Drosophila melanogaster: one gene and its partners. The protein of the gene in region 3 interacts with the protein of the main gene of each other region in a pairwise test. Each region holds a gene or a part of one and is shown on either strand. Other genes may lie near its edges.

What was found. Proteins that work in one complex are often made in the same cells at the same time.
Region 1: the proteins of CG16896 (region 3) and kipf interact in a two-hybrid assay, tested with the Drosophila melanogaster proteins (one large-scale study listed by BioGRID).
Region 2: the proteins of CG16896 (region 3) and CG15478 interact in a two-hybrid assay, tested with the Drosophila melanogaster proteins (one large-scale study listed by BioGRID).

What each region holds. Positions count from the first base shown.
Region 1 is NT_033777.3:7,910,848-7,918,203, reverse strand, and holds kipf (kipferl), read right to left. Parts: upstream 4,354-7,356; 5' UTR 4,121-4,353; coding exon 3,567-4,120; intron 3,413-3,566; coding exon 2,930-3,412; coding exon of another isoform or gene 2,926-2,929; exon of another isoform or gene 2,835-2,925; intron 2,292-2,834; coding exon 2,024-2,291; 3' UTR 1,751-2,023; downstream 1-1,750. Other genes in the region: CG10445 (uncharacterized protein), read left to right, coding at 1-348, 410-1,276; Rfk (riboflavin kinase), read left to right, coding at 5,191-5,275, 5,340-5,716; Prat (phosphoribosylamidotransferase), read left to right, coding at 6,595-7,356. UniProt on the Drosophila melanogaster protein: DNA-binding zinc finger protein that recruits chromo domain protein rhino/rhi to specific chromatin regions enriched in H3K9me2/3 histone methylation, mediating piRNA (piwi-interacting RNA) biogenesis.
Region 2 is NC_004354.4:7,711,033-7,720,829, forward strand, and holds CG15478 (uncharacterized protein), read right to left. Parts: upstream 6,901-9,797; 5' UTR 6,759-6,900; intron 4,085-6,758; exon of another isoform or gene 3,939-4,084; intron 3,460-3,938; 5' UTR 3,452-3,459; coding exon 1,793-3,451; 3' UTR 1,751-1,792; downstream 1-1,750.
Region 3 is NT_033778.4:24,869,355-24,877,611, forward strand, and holds CG16896 (uncharacterized protein), read right to left. Parts: upstream 5,559-8,257; 5' UTR 5,287-5,558; coding exon 5,006-5,286; intron 4,947-5,005; coding exon 4,833-4,946; intron 4,771-4,832; coding exon 2,355-4,770; intron 2,292-2,354; coding exon 2,136-2,291; 3' UTR 2,055-2,135; downstream 1-2,054. Other genes in the region: Atf-2 (activating transcription factor-2), read left to right, coding at 856-1,891, 1,945-2,054; CG30423 (uncharacterized protein), read right to left, coding at 5,811-5,918, 5,984-6,239, 6,305-6,305, 6,411-6,426; CG44247 (uncharacterized protein), read left to right, coding at 7,850-7,943.

The DNA.
Region 1 (7,356 bases), on a different chromosome or scaffold from region 3:
TCTGGCGACATGCCTGCGCTGCCTTCCCTTAAGATTGAACTTATATGCGTACAGCTATCGAAAACTGAAATGGCCGTGTACCAGATCCTGTCTGCCATATCCAAAAAAATCTTTACACAGTTCCTGCTCCAACGCGAGAAGGGCAACAGTGATTTAAATTATTACTCTCTGGAAAGAACCCCACAGTTTATAGCCGGACATATGTCCGACGAAAGGTACAACGAGATCTACGAAAGATTCCTTAAGTCGCTTGGCTACAATCCAGGGGAAAAGATCCTTGGTATCTATATCCTGGTGCTACTGCTGCGGCTACGACAGTTTTGTTGCCATCCGGGACTAATGATTGGGGTAAATATATACATATTTTACTTTATCACCCCACATAATCATACTCAACATCTTTCGTTAGATGCTGCGTGGTGCTTTGACCGCCGAGGACGTCCAGAACGTGAAGGTGGATGCCTCAGACGTGGAGGGCCAGCTCAAGATGGATGTCCTTGCCGAGTTGGATAAGTTTGACGAAACCGATAGCGAAGATGACTGTTGTGACGAGGAGGACAGTACTAGAAGAGATGGCAATTTCAAGTTGGAAGTGATAAAAGATGAAATTAAGGAGGAGAATGTGCCATGGGATTCTGGTGATGACCTGCCAACGGCCAGTTCTTTTGAGGATCAACTAGATAGTGCCAGAGCTCTTAAACTGCTCAATCCCCAGAATCCCATCTTTCAGTTCATACGCCCTTCTGCCAAACTAAAGATGGTCATTGATAAGCTAGAGGAACTGCTCACAGGCACCAACGACAAAATCATTGTTACATCTCAGTGGGTAAGCTATCTCGCAATCGTCCGTAAAAGACTGCAGGATCTATCATGGGAAACACTTGACTTTAATGGCCAGCTGACCGCCAAAGAACGCGAGATTGTACTGCGAGACTTTAACGCGAATAACGAGAAGCGCGTTCTTCTACTCTCCCTCACCGCTGGCGGAGTGGGACTGAATCTGAACGTGGCCAATCATATGCTAATTGTGGACCTCCACTGGAACCCGCAGCTGGAGCGACAGGCTCAGGACCGCATTTATCGATATGGTCAAACTAAGCCTACCTTCATCTACCGCTACATGTGCCAGGACACTGTAGAGCAACGAATTAAGTCCCTGCAAGATTGCAAGCTAGAAATTGCGAAAGTTGTGCTTCCAGAGGAAGGAGGAGAAGTGACCAAATGTGTTGGCGGTGGTCTCAACCTCGCGGAGCTAAAGAAACTCTTCGAGATGTGAGTCGAAGTATTTTAGTTAGTTTTAAGAAGATTATGTTTTTTTTTGTTTAAATTGTTCGCATACAAAAGCTTTACAATTTCACCAAAGTGTTTTTTAACGGATTGAATTCGTTTACAATTGTGTATTAATACTACACAGACTACCTTTAACGTTATACGTTACATTTGATATAGTCGCACGTCCATAAAGCATAAAGCATATATATTCCCTTTTTTTCTATATTAAGAACAAAACGTACTAATAATAAAGCATACTAGTTGTTTTCATGATGTATGGATCATTCTTTTTGTCTATTTTTCCTTTTGTTCTCGCAAAACCACAACAAAGCTAAAAGAAAAAAGTTTGAAGCTCTAAAGATATATAAGAAGGCATTAAGTAGCATGTGGTAGCAATCAATCGATTGTTTAATTATTTTCAGTATAATAATGTATTGTGAAATATACAATTAAAAGGAAATTTCAATAATATAAATTTAGAGCTTATTCTCAGTATATTTGAGTTTCTGTGAAATATATAATTAAAACGAAACTTAAATAATATTAATTTTGAGCTTATGAAAGTAACAAAAGAATCATATTTAAGAAAATTCAAAGTAAGAATCAACAACAGAAGTTTAGACCTGCGGTCATTATAATTATAATGAATAATAAATCGTTTATATTCCTTTCACATATATTAATCTGCTTAATTCAATGGTTGTTTTCCAAGAGTATAACCGGTAGTCACCCGTTTGGACATGATCTTCTCCTACATCGCTATTACGTTGTTGCTGTGAATGCGTTTTTTGTGCTTTCGCAAGTAGTTAACATCTACAAATACCAATGAGCAAAATTCGCAACGAAACAGATCTCCCATGTGACCACGCTCGTGCCTTTTGAGATGTTTTTCTGTTTTGAACTCCTCGGAACAATAGGTACATTTTTTAAGATGATGTTGGCGATTGTGAGTAAGCATATGCCGCTTCAAGGCGTAGACACTACTGAACTTCTTTTGGCAAATATCGCATATCGGTTTCCTGTTGTTAAATAAATAGAAGCAAATGATATTAGTTGATTCGCCTCGACTATCAGATACCCGTTAATCAGCTAGTAAAAGTGCGAGGGTTTTCTATTTCTATAAATTTTACTAAATCTTAGGGATTTAGCTCCTATAGTTAACGGGATCACGGCGTTCTTACGGACACGCAGACGGACGGACAGACTATTGATCCTGTGCAAGATTATTATTTCCTTCTACTAGTAAACCTTTTTATTACTTATCGTGTAACGGGTATACAATTTTAAAGTTTGGTTAAAGTTTGATTATTCAAATTTTCTTCGGCGAAATGGCTATCGCCAAAAATTTAAGTAAAAGAATAAATGAAAACAATAACTTAATGTCCGTTTGTTGGCTTTTTAAAGGTCTGAAACAAACTCAAAACCTTAATTTTCTAGATTTTTAATTCCAGAGATCTCTGCGGACAGACAGACGGAAAAATAGACGAACGGACGGACTGATGAGAACTTATGAACTCGGCTAGTGGTTCCGATTAAGAATATAAAGGGGTCAGATACGCTACCTTCGCTCGTCACAAATTTCTCAGCGGTACTAGGGTATAAGTATAACTATCAGGTATAACTATATTACATAAGACTGGTGGAGTTCCAAACTCACGGCTTTAGCATAGGTGGAATGCTGCACGTGCCATTGAAGGTGTTCTTAGTCCACTTTGGTTTTAGATCCTGCGCTTGATCGCTGTCGTCCGAGTCAGGATCCTTCGTGGACTCCGATTTTGAAGAGCCCGGCCTTTGTTTGTGCTCTCTGCGATGGATTTCCAGCTGAACGTGTTCGATAAATACCGCTGAGCACTGGCTGCAGGAGAGCGGACCGTCACTGTCGTGGGTGCGCAGGTGCCTTTTAAGGTGATCTTTACGCATGAAAGCCTTCGAGCAGTGGAAACACTTGTGCGCTGGCTTGCTTAGGTGGTTTCGCAAATGCCGCTTGAGGTTCGATTTTTGCATATAAGTGCGTGGGCAGTAGGGACACCTGTTGCACAGATCGGTGATGTGGGTCCTTAACTGGGTCTGGGAACAAAATCGCTTAGAACAGTGCGGGCAGTTGTAGTAGCCATCGGCATCGCAGATCATTTTGGTACTTCTGAAAATCGGGAATATAATTATTTAAGCTTATTTAAGTTATTTTTAATTATTCATATAAAAGTATAAGTAATCAAAGATGTACCTTCAAATTTTTATAATTTTTCAATTATTTGTCTATCTTGAGGCTTGATATTTATAACAAATTGCATTACCTTGTAGCTTCCTTTGGGATCATGTCTGCCTGTTCTTCTGTGCGACAAGTCCGCTTACGAGGATGCAGGGTGAAGGACTCCGGTGGGCCATCAATATTTCCCTCTTGGAGCTTCGCTTGGAGTGTTTGTTTTTGACTAAGATCATCATCTGGTTTCTGCGTTTTTGTCATTTGCTGCGTATCCTGTTGACGATCGCTTTTGAGCTGCATTTTCTGGTTTATTATCTGGTTCTTATCCCCATTACATGCAGCTAAGTGCACTTGGTTTTCCGGAGCACCCGACTGGTTTAGGACGCGGAAGAAGTGCTGGTAGCTCTGCTCGCTTTGCCACTTGAACCGGAAAGCATTCTGCACGGCCAGGACGCAGGAAACGCATATGAACTGCGGCAGCAGGTCGCCGCGTTTCACTGGACGTTCGGTACACCTGGCCAGGATGTGCGAGAGGCTCATCTCCGGTTCGTCGAGCACAGGATCCCTTACATTGGCGAATATATCTACCAGGGTGCCGGTCTCGTCCATACAAGTCCGGCACACGTTCTTCGCGCTGTGCATCATCTAAATCAACAACCAAATGCAATGTTTTTTAATAAAAGAACAGTTTACGACATCTTATGAATTGACCATTGACATTGGCCTTGTTTTGCAAACTAATAATCCCGTTTCGCTGGTTTTACAGTTATTGCTGGTAAATTATATGAATAAACGGCACATTTTTTAAAGAGTTCAATTGATTTCTCATTCTACACAAGTGTAAGTGTTCACTTTTTGGAGAATTGGATGATAACTGGAACTGCAAAGAAACCAACCGTCGCACTGATCATTTGTACATTTTTTTTAGTGCTGAATAATACATGTACACATGGAAAACAATTATTCAGAATAAAAAAAATTGAGATTGATATGATATGAAAAAATATGTATATATGTATATATATGTATATATGTATGTATATTTGTATTAATAACACAAATATTTTTCAGGCAAGCTGGCTTTCATTGTAATTTAATTACGATTTGGTGTTCTATTTATTTTGGGAATAGAGTACTAGTATTTACACAAAACATCTGATGATTCATTTATGAAATAAAAATTCAATATTTTCAATAGAAGCTCTACACAGCAAATAAAAGCTTTTGATGAAAATATGTTTAACCCGCCGCTAAAATTTTAAAATCAATCCAATTACATTAATTCTGCATTACAATATAAACCCAAGCTTTATTGATTAAAACCATACTGTGCGTAATATATACATTTCAGTTTCTTACAATTTAAATATCTAGTAAAAAAAATTCGCTAATTGACAGTACTATATAACTGAAACAGGTTGGCAGCCCGAAGGCAACAGCTGATTCGCTTTATGAATGCGGAAAATTTGTCTGTGTGTTTATGAATATTATGCCGATCAATGGAACGAGGAATAGTTATGTGAGTGGCTACGCGGCAATCACAACATACGTACTCTGTAGAAAACCCCGCTTGACTCCTTGCCAGACTCGATAAATTGGCCCGCAGCGCTTTGCGGTTGCACAGAATACCGCAAATCAACCGCCCATTGGCCCCTGATATTCATTTCAAGCGCCAGCACAGCAGATCTGGGTCAGATTGCAAGGAAATCTGGGAAATGCTGAGCCAACTGCCTCTGTTCGCTGGGGGCGAGATTGTTCGGGGCTTCGGACGCGGCTCCAAAGAGCTGGGCATCCCAACAGGTTGGTGGCGACGTTAGGCGAATTGCGAAGGTCATTTCTAATTGATAACCAAACCACTTGTTAGCTAACTTTCCGCTGGAGGTGGTGAAATCGCTGCCGGAATCCCTGCCCACTGGCGCGTACTACGGTTGGGCAAACGTGGATAATGGACCCGTGCACAAGATGGTCCTCAGCATCGGCTGGAATCCCTTCTACAACAACAAGGAGAAGAGCGTGGAGACGCACATGCTACACGACTTTAACTGTGACCTTTACGGCCAGACACTCAAGATATGCATTGTAGGCTACCTGCGACCGGAGCGCAGTTTCGACTCCCTGGAGTCACTGATTGCCGCCATCCGCGGGGACATCGAGCAGGCCAAGGCGTTCCTCGACGAGGCGGACAAGGCCAAGCTGAAGGAGGCTCCGTTCTTTACGGAGAAGCTCTGCTCGTCGAAATAGCGATGGCGTAGGTCAGTCTGGAAAAGGAGGCTTTGCTGAAGGACGCACTACTACTCTTCGCACGGCTTTGAAATAGTTATTCCATCAGTTATCTTATCTCTCAATTTGCGCGATGTGCAAAGCGGAATTCGAATATCGAATCAAGTACTTAAGCTAAACGTTTTCATTAAATTCCTACTGCTCATAATGACACCAACAAATTGAACCAATCGCATTTCAGTTTGATACTTATCAAATGTATAAAAGAAACCGTTTTTGTAAAAATGTTCCTACTGTGAATTTTTTCTAATATATTTATCTCTTAGTGGCGTTTTTATTGAGGGATTGCAGTGAACTTATTTTCAATTGTTATACATATGTAGTTAATTATTATTTATTTATTTCACGAAACATTTTTTATATTTCTGGTTTTAATTGCCTACGTGTTAAAAAAAAAACTGTTAAATATTATATATACGAACATACACATACAATTTTTAATTAATTTTAATTGCGCAAAATAACTTTAATTCAATTTAAAGCTTATTATTTAGTTTGATTGCGTATATTTTATATAAACGAATAAAATCAAATTATAATGTGTATATTGTTTTGTGTACTAAATTACAAATTAGGTAAAATTCCAATTTGAAAATACAGACTATAGAATGCTATCGATCCATCAGCACACCGCACTATCGATATCAGCGACCGATCGATATTGGGCTTGATCTCGACCGATTCGGGAAAAACTGAGCTGCGCGTGCGAGCGTGCGAGGATTTTTCTTGTATAAAACCGTTGCGTAAATCAGCAGGTAAATCAGATCGGCGTCAACTGCGCCACTGCCTGCAATCAGTTGCCTTCAACCAGCATATTGTACCGATTTTTCAGCAGCAACATGTCAGCGCCACAGCAACAACAACAGTCGCAGCAGAAGCAACAACAACATGTGCGCGTGGTCGAGCAACAACAGGTGGAACCAGCTGAGGCGGTGACCTCCAGCATGGAATCGGAATCCATCTCGGCCAGCAAGGAGCTAACCGGTTTGACGCACGAGTGCGGCGTTTTCGGGGCAATCGCTTGCGGAGATTGGCCCACCCAAATGGACATTGCACACGTGATCTGTTTGGGGCTGGTGGCACTGCAGCATCGTGGGCAGGAGTCTGCGGGCATAGCGACCAGCGAGGGAAAGTGCTCCAAGAACTTCAACGTGCACAAGGGCATGGGTATGATCAGCACCCTGTTCAACGACGACTCCATGAAGAAGCTTCGTGGCAACCTGGGCATCGGTCATACACGCTACTCGACCGCTGGCGGATCCGGAGTGGTTAACTGTCAGCCCTTTGAGGTACATACGACACATGGAGCATTGGCCCTGGCCCACAATGGTGAGCTTGTTAACAACGAATCTCTAAGAAGGGAGGTTTTGGCCAGAGGCGTGGGCTTATCCACGCACAGCGACAGTGAGTTGATCGCCCAGTCGTTGTGCTGCGCCCCGGAGGATGTTTCCGAACTGGATGGACCCAACTGGCCAGCTAGGATCAGGCATTTCATGATGCTGGCGCCACTCTCCTACTCGCTGGTCATCATGCTAAAGGACAAAATCTACGCCGTGAGGGACACCTATGGAAATAGGCCGCTATGCATTGGCAAGATAGTG
Region 2 (9,797 bases), on a different chromosome or scaffold from region 3:
TTTTAGGTAATTTTTGAATTACAAAAACTAGTTTTTCTGTGATTGGGGTTCAGTTTCTTCCTAAAGTAGGCTTAAACCTAATCAGAAATTCGGATTTTCAAAGTTAATTTAGTTGTTGCAGGTACAACTTATAACAATAATTAAAATAAGCTAGTAATATAATATCGAGAGACAGTACCATTGAATAATCCCATTCCACCCTATGCAATAACTCTTTTTCACGTCTTCTTTAATTTCCTTGCGCGTTAGACAAACAAATCTATCAATTAAGGGGAAAGCTTTAAGCTGTCAACACGCCCAAGTACTTTTGTCCCCTTGGGATATGCTGCATTCATTGTTTGTTAAAAAAGAAACTCCACCCCATCTTCGCCCAAAGGATTTTCAACGCTTCTTCGGGTTTTCTTGAAGTATTTTCCTGTTTTTTTTTTTTTTTTTGTTCGTTGCCAGTTAGCCCGAATTGTCATTGGTAAAATTTTGTTTACAGCCGCAAGTTGATCTTATTGCTGGTTGGTATATCCTTACCCACACCCACTATCATCCCCATCGGGCTTGAGTGGAAACCGCTGCCAATTGTCGACTGTTGCATGAATTATGAGCGTCTGCCAAGATTTATGAATTTCGAGAGGATAACAAAAGTACGCAAGTATTCATGACAGGACCCTCCTCTAACCGCATAGAAATCCCCGCGGCAGCAAAAAGGGAAAAATCTGTCAGCTGTTAAGTTGAGTTATAAATTTCCTGCAATTAGGTTGAATTTCAATTTCGCTGCTATCTCTTCTTGCTACTTACTTTGATTACACAATCATGATGATGATGATGATGAGACCCCCACTTTGCTTCTTCTTTTTTTGGCCCCGCCTCTCTTAGCGATGTTCATGCAAATTTTTATCGACACTTTTGATTCAGACTGTACTCGTGTTGGTTTTTTATTCACTTTTTTGTTTTGTTACTGCTGCTTTGATTGGCTTTCAGTGCACTTTTTCTGCCTCAATGTGCAGAAATTTGCAAACTCATGAAAATCCATACGTTTGATAACAATGTTAAAGGGGGGGGGGGGGAAAACAAGAAGCAACATAAATAAAAACGGAAACGGAAACGAGCCTGGTGAACGCACAAGTCGCCACGCCCCCACCGTTTTGCATTGCAATGTGTTCATTAAGCAACCGGGTAGCAAACAAAATCAATGAATGGTGTAAAAATTAATATCCTGTGGGGCTCAAATGAAAAAAGAATAAAAAAAAAAAAAAAACGAGGAATGCAAGAGAACTGTGGCGGGAATTGGGTGGCATTGTCATCGTCAGCAGCAGCAGCCGGCAGCAGTTTTAATTTACACAAAGCGTAGTCAGGCGTGTAATGCTCGGTGGCGGTATGATGAAGGCTCCTTTTTTATGTGGCGCCCAACGTTGGTGGGCCTGAAGCTCGACAATTCGTGCAACGACATTTAAAAAATGCCTTAAGGCAGCAAATACGTGGAAGATGAACCAACAGGCGACGACGACGGCGTGAAATGATTTATGAAATTACTTTTACCGTTGCATATTTCTAGGGGCAGGGAAACTTCAACTTGGGCCACAGTTTCAGTTACAAGCTGTCATGTTTATTTGCAAAGAAACGTTGATTTGATAGATCTCTATCATTTTGTTGTATAAGCATTTATTGAGCGCGTAACTGTTTCTTCTTATTCTTCAAGTTACTTACCTTCTCAAAACCACCAATTTCTGTAGAAAATGAAATAAACAATGATCATATTATGGACACATTAACTTTATTCGTATTATTTAAATAAGTAGCCTCAATCGATTTGCGTGATGGAAGCCTCGTCATTGCTGGAACATCGACTGCTCTCGCCATCCGTGCGATACTTGATGGAGTCAATGATCTCCACATCGATGTCACAATTGCCCTGATTGCCGCTCGTTCCCTCCAAACCGGCACCCGTATCACTGGAATTTCGTTCCAGTGAATCTTCATCGCAAAGATCGGGTGCCGAAAGTGAGGCACTAACCGATGCCGATTCCGACTTGGCATCGATATCCTGACTCTGCACCTGCGCCTGATGGGCGGCAAACTGACTGTAAAGGCGTGGCAGATGTTGCAACATATAGCTGGCGCCCGATTTCGATAAGTTTGCAGCTGCAGCAGCGGCAGCAGCGGCTGCCGAAAGATTAGCAGCCGTACTGGACGGTTGATTTTCCTTAGTCTCGCCCAGATCATAGTATTTGGCATAGTGCTCGAATTTGTTGCCCAATGTGCTGGTGGTCACTGCACCACCACCGCCGGCGTTTGATCCTGCCGCATTGGCGCACAGATTGATGGCATCGTTTTGGGCCGCCTTGGGTATGGGTACAGTGAAGGCGGAGCCATGACGCTGTTTGCTCAGCAAATTACTGGCCAAACCGGAAGCGGAAGTGGCGCCCGAGCTGGAACACGAGCCGGGTGAACCTTCTTCGGCAAGTGCATTATTGCTACTCGAAAGCGGTGAGACATTCTCCTTCTTTCTATCGTATATATGTCCGGAAACGCGAAGATCGATGAAGAAGTGCAACGGATCGATGCCGTAGGGTGCATAAAGTGGTGGATACCAAACCGGTGGTGGTGGCGGCAGGACCAAATCCTGTGGTGGCAACGATGCCGCCGGCGGTGTATTGTCCTGCAGGTTAGTGTCGACGGCACCACCCAGACCACCAGTCTTATTGCCAGCCGTTGGTGGTGCCGTCGTTGGCGTTGGCGGTGTTATACCCATAGCACCTGGTTTGGTTTCCATTTTGGCATAGCCATAGGGTGTCATTGCCTTATTGGTCAGCTCTAGAGGTTTCTCCGGCACCAGTTGCTGCTGAAGTTGCTGATGTTGCTGCTGCTGATGCTGTTGATGTTGCTGCTGCTGCTGCTGCTGCTGCTGGTGTTGCTGCTGCTTCTCCTCTGCATCGCGTCGCTCCCGCAATTGCTCGTAGTATGGACGATGCGACCAGGAGCGTTTTCTTGGCCGCCTCACCAAGGCGGCCTGATGTTGCTGCTGCTGTTGTTGCTGTGCCTGCTGCTGCTGCTGCTGCTGTTGCTGCTGCAGCTGCAAGACACGCGCCGTCTCATTATTTCGCGCTTGCACCAAGGAACGCAGCATATCGCTGAAAAAGAAATTATTTGGTCCCACGGGTGCGGAATACAAATACGGTGGTGTGGCTGCCATTAAACGACTGACGTAGTCCTGATTTCTTAGCTCATGGATGTTGCTCTTGCTGCGTTGCTGCGGATTTTGCGGATTCGTTGCGGTTGGATCTGCAGCAGATGCTGCTGCCGCCGCTGCTGCTGCTGCTGCTGCTGCTGTTGTGGGCGTACTAGGCGCACTGGGCGTGGCATTGCTGGTGGTTACCCCTGCTGACGCTACTGCTCCTCCCGTTGAGCATGGCATCCCTGCTGTGTTGCTCGACGAGATGCTGTTACTGCTGTCCTTCATTGCTGCTGCTGTTGGAGAAAAAAAGTTAAGAACACACAAAAGACGTTGGCTCAGTTCTGTGGCTGAAGTCACTTGAAATTTATATTTGTATAGGGATATATATTTGCATTGTCTTGGACTGGCATTCCACCGCCTTTTCCATGCTCCCGCCCAACCATTACCCACGGGACAATTAAATCTGAATTTTCTGTTTGCTCCGAGTGAATCTGTCTCGATGTATAAATGTGTGTGAGTTTTCTCGGTTGGCAAGGAAGTCTAAATAATGACTGAAGGGACTTGGTGTTGAACTTGAAAGCGTCTTAAGATTGACTGAAAATCCAAGATGTTAGCAAATGGAATGTAATTGATAGAAAAGTAGATTAGAAATCAGTTCAAGCATTAAGCATCAAGCCCGCAACCTTTAGAGTCCTGTATTCGTATAATTGTAATAGCATAACTGCCATGTGCATCAAATCCATTGTTCCACAGCTGCCGTCAGCTAAGCTACCTTTATTATAACTTTATTAAGCCAACATCTGTGCCCAGCACCCAAAAAACAAATGAAATTTGCATAGAAAAACAGGCGCGCAAGTTCCCTCACTCTCCGTTATCCCCATAATTTTTTTTCCGTCTCCAACTCCCCGCTGATCCCTTAAAAGCTGTTAATAAGCTTACACACATCGCGCCAAATTCCAGTAAATTAAATGTTTCAACAGCAGTGACACCCAACCACCCTCATTGCCGCCTCCATTTCCGCGAACGTTGGAGGACAAACTCAATTGTTGTGTTGCCAAACTGTTGAGGCACTTGACGCTGTGTCCTGGCTGCTTGTATCCTGTGCCGCCTGTGTGCCTGTCAATTCTAACCAGGAACAGTACAGAATCACGCATTGAAGGACCCCCCCCCCCCATTTCCACGACTCCATTGCCTTGTTGCTCTTTCATTTTCGCATTTAAAAAGTTTTTAACAACCCACAGACGACGCCTGTTACCGAATACCCTATAATAAAACGAAAGTAATATCAAGGAGTACACAAATTGAACAATTTGAAGGCATTACTTAGTTTGTGAACTTTGAATTAATCCTTCATGATTTTTTCCTTCTATGGTTTCTATGGTTTTTTCGAAAACGAAAAACATAATTTGCAATTATTCATTATAGAATATATTGCATTTTTAGGTATCATCAGCTTCTATACGATTGCTTGGAACATTCATTTGCATTCCTTCTGTTTTTTCCGTTATTCCATGTTGGATTTGTGGAATTTTTTATTTTTATATTGTTTTTTCATTTCGTTGTAAAAATATATAAAGTTTTCAACCGTCGCAAAAGGAATATATGATTGGGGGTTTCGGAGGCGGAGATTTTCAAACGGACGGGTGTTGATTTGCATTTTTTGGCAGCCGTTGTTCGTGAGAGGTAAAAATGTTGGTTAGGGCGACATTTTTGCGACAAAGTTAAAATTAGATTATGCTAATTAAGGCGCGGTGGTTGTGGGCGGTGATAGGCGTGGCCAACCCGGCATCTGGTACTCGGTGGAAATTCCGTTGATTTTCCCCGGCACTGATTGATGCTGGGCAGAGCTTTAATTGCCAGTTTCTCTTCTCATTTTTAAATTGGTTATGGCTGTGGTGGCTCTGGAGCAACTGGCAGCATTTTAATATTCAATCAGCAGCTGTCGGCCAACTTTCTTTTATGGCCCATGCCCAAGTTTGTGCATAAGTTTTGCAGCTGAGAATAAGTCCGAGAACTAAAAATATGGAGCTGAGATTAATGCGCAAAGTGCATCCGACTTTTGTTTGTCTTTCGTCTGGGGATAAGCTGAGTACTAACTTTTGCGAAATTCTTTTTTTTTCCCCTTCTCAAACAGCGTGGCAATTAAAACCAGAGTAGAAAGTAATCCCTCCACTGGATTCCCCTTGGGTGGTGATCCACCCACTCAAGGCTGCCCAGCTGATTGATGTCGCATCATCGATGTTAAATTTAAGCCACCACCGGAAAATAGAAGAGCCGATTGGGATTGCGGGCAACCCCTGTAAGCGTACACTTAACTGGCACTTGGGCTGGGCAACCTTATAACATAATTACTGCATATCAAACAGCGATAAGTTGCCCATGCCACTTCATTCCGAAATCACTCTGGAGTTCATCTTCCCACCCATGGAGTTGGTTAGCAACCCTCCTCGTGCTCACCTGGTGTGCAACCCTGAACGAAGTCTATGTTCGCATTTTGTGCCATTCAGGCGCGGTTGTAATCTTTGTAAAGCGTGATGTATCGTGTAATTGGCGCCCAATGTGGGGCTTTATGAACAGTGGATTGTTATCGGGTTAGTTAAATAGTTTCAAAGGATGAAGAATTGGAAAATATGTAGCTGCCTAAGAATGTAAATCTGAAATTAGCTAATAATTTTAAATATAAAAAATTTTTTTATGACCAAACTAGATCGCTCAAATGACTAATAAATAACATTTTTAACCCTTGCTCGTTAAGCGTCCTGCCTGTTCCTGCCCTGTGTTTAAGCCACCCCGCTCATATCCACGCACATATGGGGACAAATGAACTTGTTGGTTTGTTGGTGACATGGCGTTGTGGTGTTAACGTTACAGCGTTTGACTGCGAATTAAAATAATGTGCCACTTGTGGCTTTCTGTCCATGTGTGTCGGCTACAGCAGACAGTTACCCCTGCCCCGCATCCGGGGAACTCTGTCCCGTGTATGTTGTCCGTATTCGTGTCCGTTTGGGTTGCCTGAAAATTTGACAAAATTTCATTTGCAACTTTGCCCGCTGCCAGAGATACGCATGCATCACAACGTTTTTCAAAATCGAATTTGCGTTGAACCCTTTCTGACAGGTTCTTCGTGTAGATTGATCTGGGATTTTGCAAAGGGTTGAAGTAAAGTGCAACCCCTGGATGCGTTTGAATTATGGCTAAATAATTTCTCCAATGAAAATTTGAAGTTTAGCTTGGATTGTTTCGGTTCATAGACTGACTGAAGTGCATAAAGTATTTTTGGTTTTATTCTAATCATTTGGATTAAATGTTTCAAGAAAGATTAGTAAAGTTCTTGGGTTTGTTAGGCTTTGATCGAAAAGTTTAATTGTAAACGAATGCCTTATGAAGCTTATATATAAGATTTTATTAGCTTATTATTAACCTTATTAAAATATCAGGTTAATTATTAAGAATGTCCAAATTGTGTTTTATTAAAAGAGGAGTTCTTAAGTTGGAATATAATCATTGATTGCATTTTCACAATAATATTTTTTATAGACGCGTTTTTTTAACACATTCAAATCCGATCTTGCGAGCTGATCAATTTTCTCACCTATGATTACTATATTGATAGATATATTTGTTTAAAACTTATTTCACTTAAAAAAAATATATAAAATAATATAAGCACTGCTTGGGTAACGCGTTGCTAGCGGTCTGAACTGCCGTCGATGACAGTTAAAAATCAAATGAAATGAGTGCCAGCAGCGGCAACAGCAGGAAAGCAGAGCAGCATCCAACGAGTCCTGAGGCCGAGACAGAAACAGAAAAACAGAGACCGAGTACCAGAACCAGAACGAGGCGAGTTCGGTGCGATTTTAAAATTATGAATTGTTGTAAATGAAACGAGGCGTAAGCAGAGCGCCAGCAGAGCTGCTAGGTGGGTGGTGGTGCGCCACAGTCGCTGTGGCATTGGTGGTGCGCATCAGCAGCAGCAACATCGACTGTGGCAGTAGCAGTAGCAACATCACCAGCAGCAACAGTGCTAAAGTGTTCATGGAAACCACCCTCGAAGAAAGGTAAAAAGTTTTCAAAAAGACGACCAAAACTAGAGCGAGACGTAAGCTCATTGGTCTATGGGTTGATCGCTTCCGGTTGGTGCAGTCTTGCCAAATTTTACACGTTAAAGATCGACTGGGAAACGGAAGTAAAGAGACCTTCTTAAAATGGTTTTGTTTAGGTAATGAACTGCTTATTTGGCGCCCAACCTGGGGCTTATGTGCTTCGGAACACAAAGCATTATCATATCATGCATTATCATAAATCAAAATTCTAAGAATTAAATTCAAGAATAAGTGTTATATTTATTACTGTGATGGAACTTTTTTTTTCCACATTTCTCGGGCAACGTTCCCCGGTTTCAATTACCAATCTCTGGCGGATGTTGCCAGTGGAACAATGGATGCAGTCCTTGGCTACGGGCAACGTGTTGCTAAAACGACAGCTCAACTGCGGGAGTAGGTGGGTGATGGGCCGGTTTGAGCAGGATAAGCTTATAATTTCTATTACAATGAAGGCATGCGGATGCGGTTGGATATGTAGAGCGTTGCGTTGCTTTCTTTGCTTAATTTTTTGCTGCCACCGACTGTTTGCGACTTCATTAGCGACACCTCCCCACAAGCTGTTGCCAAGCAATTGCATCGTGTGTCTGTGTACGAAGATCACTGGAAAAATTTCACTGTTATTGGTATAGTTGTGTGTAGTTACTTGTTTGTTCTAGTACTCAGTGCTAAGACTTAAATAATCATAAATAATTATGATGAAGGTATGTGGATTTTATTTAAACATTTAACAGTGGCTATAGCATTTTTCGGCTGTGCATCTTTGCAACTTGCCATCGGCAATGGAATCTGAATCCAGAGCAATAGCTTTGAAAAACTCGTGTAGCTTTTTTTGCAGTTTGCTGGGCTGAGCTTGTTTGAAATAAATACCGCATTTTTTGGCTCGTCCTTTTTTGCACTAGTTGTTAGCTGTTGCCACACGTTGGTTGCGTGTTTGCCACCCACTCGCAGTATTAAAAAAAAAAAAAAAAAGAAAAGCTCCCATGGCTGCACATCAAACGTCAGCACGGAAGGAAGCTGTTTCTGTCCAGGGAGTTTGGGTATGGGCGTTTGGCATTCGGCATTGTCTAGCATTCCCCGCCATCACCCACCAAAAACCCACACCAAATCCATTTTTCCCTCACCCAACGGAGGCTGTGAATGTTTACACTTTGGATTTGGTTCTGGTCGTCGCATTTCCCTTCCACCTTTTTTTTTTTTAATTTTTGTTTGGACTCGACTCAGCTCGAGATTTTGAATACAACTCGGTTAACGGTTGTTATGGCAATCCGTTCGGAAAAGGGACCTGGTTTTATAGCGTGTAACAGCGGCTGTTGCAGTGGGGAAGCCCCTCGAATAAGTTGCAAGTTGGGGCGGTCAAAAGATGTGGAATTTCGAAAATGTTCAGCATATCAGAAAATGAAAAGTATGATCAAGGTACGCTGATGAATAAAGTGTGATTTAAATAGGTAGATCATAATATGTTTGAAATGCAGAGTTGCATTTCGATATTGTGTTGATCGATGAAAGTTTGAAGTGATGCTGATTCCTACATAAATTAAATATAAAATTAAATTTATAGTTATTTTCGAGGGACATGTTGCGTGCTTTTAACAATTTAAAGACACTATATCTTCCTCTCTTTTATAGCCGCATGCAACGTCTCACACATGCCACACAATTTGTGCCACTTTTGTGATGCGCATCCATTTCCGCTTGGGCGGCGGCACCACTTTCAACGCTCCACCCATCCGCCAAACCACTCGCTTGCCATATTATCCTTGCTTTTATTATGATTTTTTTTTCACATTTCACTCGAGCGTTGATTGAAATGTTGAGCGAACATACACGCACATATACAGACGGAGAGACAGACAGAGAAGGTTTGAGGTGGTTGGGTGGTGAAAGCAAACAAAGCGGTGCGAAAGGGAAGGCCATACGTTGAGTGGTGGTGGGTGGTTTTCTGGGCTGGCTGGGCTTATTTGTTTGTTTGCATGTAAATTGCAATGTACCACCGTTCTTAGACCTGCACCCTCCACCCCCCACCACCATTAGCCCGTTTCAATTTTTTAGATTTTAAACTTTGTTTCTTGTCTTTTTGTTAAATGTTTGCCGCTCCCTCCGCTGATTGTCATTTGCTTTTAGCGCCGCATTACCACCCTCCATTCTCCATTATGAGTGGTTCGCGCGGTTGGTGGAACGTCCATCATCCATCCATTTCATCCATCCATCAAGGACAATCAAGGCAAACGCGCGAGAGCTTTTTGTGGGTTTGATTTTGGGCTCAGGCCAACAAAAAAAAGATTCCTTTTCCTTTTTGGCCCAAAAGCGGGTAAAATATGCTTTTTGGGGGGCAGCGGCTAATGAATTAGTGGGCGGGATATTTAAAACTTTTTTCGTTGGACTTTTGCATAAATTAAATTAAAATTTTATTTTCTGTTTGGTGGGGGGTGTCTTTTAAAAAGATTTTGAATTTTTTCAAGTGAAACACCTTGTAAATATTCAATATTTATTTAAGTTTTTATACATTTCATACATTTGTTTATTGGCAT
Region 3 (8,257 bases):
AAAATTGCTCGTTTCGTTGCGTGCATATTTCCCAAAATGCGAGCGGCTTGAAATCATTTTGCGTGTTGTTTTGTCCGCTGTCTGTTTTCTGCTTGTTCCTCCAATGAGAAATCTAATTTAAAAGATACAAATTTTAAATTATGGGGTTTTCTTGGCTACCAAAAATGTTTCGATGTTTTTTCTTCGCTTTACCTTCCTCTTCTTCACATATGATTGCTTCTACGTGCCGAAGACTCGCATTTTGGCATTTTGGATGCGATGGCAGATACGCAATTTCGTTGCGGAAATGCCGAATGTCAAGAGTGGTTGCATAACAGCTTCAAACACAGAAAGGCTAGGAATAATAAGGGTCTCATGACAGAGGGGTATTTTTTACACACAGTATTTATTGGTAACCAGATTCAAATTGAAAACATTCGCGCGCCTTTTTTGCACCCACTCGCGGTATCGATATATCGGTTTGCACACATCACTACTGTGCTAAGGTAAACAACATATAAAATATACATTATATCGAGGTTTGAAAATTCCTTTACTTATTTTGTTACACAATGAAGATTATTCAGTATTTATTTGATTTATTTTAAGTTCTACGTTATGATCTTTGTTCTACCAGTAATAAAATACATTTTACATCGTAATTACGGCAGAAGAACTTAGTACCTTTTCCAGCACTGCAGCCAGAGTTGGTTTCTTAATGGAGTCCGATAGGTTCAATAACACATCCATACATCGATAACAATTTTATTTTTTGTTTTGCTAATGTGATTTACAAAATAGTTGTTTTAATTGAGAATTGTCGGCAGATTATGGAGTTTGATTTGTAAATAGCATGATTTTGATGTAACTTCTGACATGGACACCGCCGGAGACATGGATCACCTGGCCAGTGTGTCCTTCGGCGACTTTGAGACAAAATCCCCAGAGGGCGACGTATCCTGCTATCAGAACTTTCGGGCACAGACGGAACATGTTTCGCTAGACATTTCTCTCGGGCAGAAGTCAGACACTCTATTTGCCGCCGACCAAACGCCCACGCCTACGCGACTCATCAAGAACTGCGACGAGGTGGGTCTCTTCGAGGACCTGCAGCACGTAAATCCATTTGACATTGGATTCCAGCAAGCAGCGGAGCGAAATGTCAGCGGCACTCCGAGTCGCCCAGAGGCTCGACCCAATGACGGTGAGTCCCTGCACACGCCCCAGGTGTATCCCGTCGAGGCCCCCACCGTGGTATCAGTTCCGTCTGAAAATCAGGTCCCACAAAGTGTCAGCTGCGGCGATATGGATGTGGACCAGCTTCTGGCCACGACAGTTACCTCGCCTTCCAAAGCCAGTCAAGATGGTCCGCCGCCGCTGCAGTTGATCCAGCCCCAGGTCCTAACATGGGTGCTGCCTGCGCAGTCAGTTCCCATTTCCATCGCTACAGTTGATTGTAACAGAAACAGGGTGAAGCCGACTGGTGCCATTCATCCCTTCATACTGCCGAAACCCACTGCGAAAGAATTAAACAAGACCAGTAAAAGACCCGAGCCTATTTTGGTCAGTTGCAACCCACCTAATAACGAGCCCAGTAGCGCCAGTCTGACGCCCACCTCACAGCTGCCCATCAAGGAGCGATTGAAGGCCATTATCCACAGCAATAATAACAGACGAAGTTTCTCCACACCGCCCAAGGCTGCGAAAGCAAAGGATCGCAGTCGGGACGAGGATTGTATGGAGCGACGAAGAGCAGCAGCCTCTCGTTACCGTAACAAGATGCGAAACGAGCATAAGGACCTCATCAAACAGAACGCCCAGCTGCAGCAGGAGAATCAAGAACTGCACGAAAGAATTTCCAGATTAGAAAAGGAACTGCAGCAGCACAGGAGTCACAGCAGCTTAGCTGGCGGTAAGCTTTAATAAACCATTCCTGAAGTTAAGTTAATTTATTTTCGTTTATAGTGGTGGCCGACCAGCTGCGGATTCCACCATCCAGTATACACTTGCTCATCAATGTGCCCAACGTGTTAGTGCCTTCGTCCGCCAGCAACGCAAGCGCGGCCAAGAAATAACCAATATGCCTTGTTTATTTATTTTCTAGTGCCATGTACATAATCCTAGCCTTGTAGTTTATTCGTACAAAAAAGCCTCAGTTAAGTTAAATTCCTTCTGTACTCCAATGTTTTGTCTGTGGTTATGATTTCCGTAAACTCTCTCTGTATCTCAAAAATGGAATTCTCGATATCCACCAGCTGGGGACTAAATTGCACAGATGATGTTGCTGGAGTTCGCAGCTGTTCCATGGTCATCTGTTCGGAAGAAAGTAGACTTAGGAGATCACAGAATACAATCTAAAATCTTTTATCACATACATCACGCAAGTTTTTCTGCAGCTGATCACGCTGATAGCAAAGTTTCTGGATTTTGTCGTAATACTTCTGTGCCAGTGGAGCACCCTCCGTATCCGAGTAGTAGCGCTGGGCAAGGAGCTCCATCTCCTGGTTACGAATTTCATCTTCGGCCAGCTGCATTTCTTGGTTGTGACGCCGACGCTCACGCTCAATACTGTGCATCAGCAGGTCCATGTCCTTCTCCATCTCCAGAATTTTGCGTCGCTGCTCAGACTCCTGTAACTTAGTGATGACCTCGCTCTTGCGCCGACGCACCTCCATTTGGTAGGTGAGCAGCATTTTCCGTTGGCAGGTGATGCGCTCTTCCTCGCGATGGATTGTGTCCTGGTAAACTCTCTCCATTTCTTTGAGGCGGCGAGCGTGCTCCTCTTGCTTAAGTCCTGTTTCAAGGCGTTCCATAATTTTAACCTCCTCCAACTCAAGATGGCGAATTCGGGCATCGATTTCCTGGTTGTGCTTGATCAACGATACTGCTTGATACTCCTGCTCATCGATCCACTCGCTGGGATATTTGAGAAACTTTGGATACACACCCTTCGGAATGGGGCTGAAGTGTGTCATGAAACGCTGTGGGTGAAGTGCAAGCGCACATTTGGACATTAGTTTGCGCGCCTTGGAAAGAAGTTTGCTGATGTCCACAGGGTTCTGATCGTGGAAGAAGAAGAGGACTGATCGCTTGTCTGGCAGCCGCAAGATTATCTCTCGATTAATCAAATTGTAGGCCACTACAAGAAAGACTGGAAACCAGGGTGGTTCCGAAAATATGTTGTCCCACAGCGATAGCCACTGCTCCTCTTCAAGGACCTCGGAAAAGGCAGTGCTCAGAAGGGGCCAGGCAAAATCTTTAGGCAACATCTCCTGGGATTTATAAAACTTGCAAAGCTGTTCGTCACAGTGCTGCAGGATATTTTCGCACATGGCCAGATAATTGGAGGGCGGCAGCGGATGAAATTCGAAACACAGCTGAAAATGATTCAATACAAGGGTAGCGATTAACTCAAAGCAAACCAGACTATTCTTGGGCATTCGCTTCACAAACGGAAAAATCAGGTGTGGCATAAAATCTGCGTGAGCTAAGACCTTGCACCATTGAGCAAGGCAACTCCAAATCTTAATCACAACACGGCGTTGGTGATCGTTGCGAATCTTAAGCTTCTTGGCCCGATTTCTGACCAGGAGAGGTGCCCCCAGTTTGATCAGTTCCTGGAATTGAGGCCCATTGCAGGGCAGGTCTAAGAGGGATGTCCAAATTAGGTACCTGTACTTTTCAGGATAGCAACCGTACTCCTTGAGCATGGTTTTTAGGCGCTGCGGATTGAGCAGATCTCGCAGTTCTTTGCTAACGCCTCCACCGACGCTGCAGGGCGGCAGAGGATTCGGTTGTTTGAAAGTGGACTTCACCTGGCTGAGGCAGCGGATCTGAGCTTGCAGGGCGTTAAAAATGCGGCACGTGGACCACACATTGACTTCTCCGCAGCGAGACGTTACACTCAACAGCTTGCCATCCCGACTCAGACTCAAACTTCGTGCATTGGAGCGCTGCACAATTAGCTTGTGATCCGTATTGGCTAAATCCAGCATGACCGCTTGGTTTCTGGTGGTGATTCCAAACACTATGCGCTCCTTTGGCTGCGAGAGGAAAGCCATTTGGTGGAGAGTAAAGTCCGTCAAGCGGTACATCTTTTCCAGATCAAAAGAGGCCACGCTCAGCAATAAAAGATAGCCATCCAAGGTACTAAGGCACATCTTGTTGCCGTCGGGGGTGAAGCAGTAGCTGAGTAGCATTCCATCGGCAAAGTCGTAGTGCTGGCAGTCAAACGTCAAGTCCTCCTCCAAGTCACTGTCATCCGGGCTTCGGAGAACTATTTCCGGTATAGATTCTGCGGCTGGTAGCAGTCTCAGTTTGCGATTCCTGGCCTTGATAGGCTGGCCCATCCGCAAAGTGCTCAATGAATGCGAGGACCACACATGCAGAGAATCGTTAGAAAACCCTATAAAGAACTGGTCCGAGTGGGGCAGGAAGGCAGCGAACTTCAGCGTGTAGCGCGACTGATCGAAATCCAGCTGATGGGAAACCTCCAGAGTATGGAGATTCACCAGAAGTGCATCGCTGCCGAAACGCATCAGAGCGATAGAGGAGCGTGCATTCTGCAGGCTATTGCTCCAACTCAATTCCTCAAGCGCTGCGCTTCCCACTTCTCCGTCGACCCCAAGAATTGAGTTGTCCACGTCTATGGTGAAAATGTGGCCCGTTTTATTGCCTACAATGTAGTCGCTACCGTGCAGAGGGGATGGCCGAATGAGCTTGGCCTTGGGCATCCGGAATCCCAGCCGCCAGTAGCGTTTGCGTACAAAGTCAAAGACGAAAACATTGCCACTGGGAAATAAAAAAGACTGTTTAAAAGAGTATTACGTTATTGTTTCCCCTGTCAACCTTACCGCTTGTCTATTACCACCAGCTTGTTGCTAAGTTCGTTGAAGCAGCAGGCGGCAATCTGGATGCGCAGTGCCTGACCTGCTTCCTTGATCGTGTGGTGAACGGTTAGGACGTTCCTGGAATTCGCAAACTTCGTTGGCAACAACTCCGCAATGTGCCTAGAGCGCATACTCACCCAGATTCGCTTTGCTTCAGCTTAAAAGGGTACTTGCGCATAGGAGCATTGCTCAAAAGCACACTGCGCGCTGCCTCAGGCTGCGTGAGCGACACATCAGAATCTCCCGTGTCTGAATCCTGATCTGTGAATAGCTCCAACTCCTCCTCCGTGAAGTCCTCCTCCACGTCAGTGTTGACATCTCTATCGTCCTGCATCGAGTTCTCGATGCCATGAAGGGCCACCGAAGGAATACCCGTGATCTGTTCCTTCTTGATTTCAGATTTTATAATCCTGTCCATGTTATGGGCTCAAATGAGGTGTAACTCCATTTGTCAAAGGACGTGTACTTTCGCCAATGAAAAAAGGAACGCCACACCGCTATTCATTTATCCAGCAAGGATATTTACAAATTTGTATATTTAACAACTGAATGCTTGTTCCTAGTTCCAGTGCAGCCAAATGAACACCATCCAGGCTATTTTTTTTCGACTATAAATATTTCCAGTTCAATTAAGTGAGTGAAAACTGAGAGCTAATCCCTCCTTGATACGCCAGTGGAGAGAATTACTGCTTATGGAATAGTGGTTTAGATATCGATATCGAACCAGCAAAAAGAACCGGAACCAGACAATGTCTACTACGTCAGTTTATTTTGTTTGCGTTTATCTGGATACATTTGATTATATGAGATTTGTTGATGACTGCGGATAAGCGAACAGCATGCGTGCTTACGGATAAATGGCCGTAACCCTAGGACCCAGTGCATCGGTGATATTCCTGCGCCGGTTACTAGCCTAGTGAGCTTGTGAACTACAAATCCCCTCTAGAACATGGATCCGTATGGCTCGTCATCGCGCATGGCGTACCAGAAGATGGTGCCGTAGTTAATAATGTTACTTATTATCGTCAGGATACTCGCCGTCCAGGTGATCTGTTAAGAATGACATCGCGTGTTTAACACTCTTAAAATCCCAATAGCTCCGTGTGTCCACTTACCACCAATGCGTGGGCTAGGACGATGGGCAGGGCGAAGGCACTCAGCACCATTCCCGCGGTAAGGAAGTGAGCAAACTCCGATTTCGGATTGGTCTCATTTCCAGGAGTTGTCCTCCTGGCAATGAAGACTGGAAGAACTGACAGCACGTAGAACAGCAAAACGAAGAAGGGATAGAAAATCTTTGTCGTGGGCACGGCGCAGGCCAGGATCAGGAAGGTAACACCAATGCATGTAAGAAAGGCGCAGATGAAGAGGCTGCACAAAGAGGGGAATCATTATCAGACGGTTGGCTGCAGGAGTGGGTGTAGTTGTAGACATACGCTGTGTGATGGTTTCAAAAGAGGCGTGTAGCGGGTTCCAGTTGGTGTTGATGTAGGCGAAGAATGTAAGCCATTAGATTTGCTAGAGACTGTTGTGCATAATTACCCTTTAAGGTGGCCATTGTATTTGTTTATAATTTTTCCTTTGTCGCTCCTAAAAATGACTCAGATGTGTAGTTCCAGATGAACCAGTTCATCAGTATGACCGAAACATGACCATTCAAAATTATTTAAACGTAATATACCGATTCTAGTATATACCGTTAAAAATAATTTATTAAATTCGATTTTAAATTCTTCCAGGTCTAATTAAATGTATTTTCAATTTATATGCTAATTTTCTCCGAACCTCCATGAAATGCTTTATTAAAGGACTTACCTTTGGTTTTTAAGTTTTTAAAAGCTTTTTTATTAAATGTCTTTTAAAAGTCCGTTTATCAACGACTAATCAATGAAAAGAAAGCAAGGAAAAGATGAGTATTCCCCGATAATCTGTTACGAAATCATTTCGCGTAAGAATCCGAGATCCACTTGGGGGTATTTCTCCCAACCGATTCGGACATCAGGACCAATGCTACACATACACTATTCGGCCTACCATAACTCCCGCAGTCCTTTGCCGGTGAGAAAAGCTCTTTGGCTGCCAATTCATTGATAAAAATTAAGCACGCCCTATCCCAAGCGAGGAAGCTGGAGGAAAGGGAGGGTTCTCCCAAAGCGGGCGTGGAGTTGGCTGACGGGGCTTCGGAATTCGTGAGTGGCAGCCACCTGCTAGCTGGCCGAGAGTCTCCTTGGCCTCGTCTCGGCTCTTTATGAATGCCCGTGTTTACTCAAAGAATAAAGGAACGGACGTGCCGAGCTTTTCAGCCCCACTGTGCGCATGCGCTGCTTTTGACTACTGTGCCCCTCTGGTTGTTGTTGTTGCTGCGCGGCCTGCCCTCAAAAGCTGCCCGCAACATTTAACAGCGCGGGGGCGAACCTAACATTTGCGTCACAGCTTCTGCTTCTTCTCGGGCTTTTTGCCGCCGCCAGGCTCATTCAGTTTCTTCAGTATAACGGTATACGTCGACAGCGGAGCAACGCAGCCCAGGAGTCGAGTCCCATCCGCATATATCCCCACAGCCATATGTCCATCTGAGCTTCTTCGCCAGCAATCTGTGAGAAAAGTGCACCATTTGACATTTTAACCACCCGGTAGAGTGCAGCATAACCTTTGCTAGGACACCTAATAACCCCCAAAAATCCTCGAGAAGTGCAGTTGGCGCAGGTTACTAGCCAGAAATATTGCACGCCCACGCGAAAGTGCAAAAGTTCGGGGAGCAACCACCAGCAGCTGCCAATTGGATATATTCGCAAGTGTGTGCGAGTGTGGGTGTTGAAAATCAATAACCCTCGTCGACGTCGTCGTTCTAGCCAAAGCCCCATTAACCGGCCATATGGCAGTGGTGGCAGAGGTCGTGCAGTGCTAGATAGTTCCCATTCGAAATTGATTTCTGAGGTCTCGAGAAATCCGCAAGTGGGAGTGCATTTGGTGGCAAGTGCAAGATGGCGGCTCGCCTGGAAATCACCGTTAGCTTGGCGCTCGCTGCAACGCTACTGTGCAGCATATTGGGTCATTGCGAAATGTCCGTTTACCCAGGTAAGCCTAAAAATAGCGCACTACACACCCATTCACCTATAAGCCCGTACACCCATGTACCCACACACGCAGCCTGAGTGTTCGGGCTTGAATGGCGCAGGAGGAGCGAAAGGAAAGGAAAGGAAAGCTGCCACCTCGATTTGTGTATCCCCTGCACTAGATACATGCATGGCGAGTCCTGCGAAGTGCTCCGAATCAAACCAAAACACCCACGCTCATTGCTTCGGCAAAACTAAAAAGTCAAGCCAACTGCAGCGTCGTAACTACATAAATACACATAAGTGGTAATAACGAAATTCTCCACTCGAAATTTA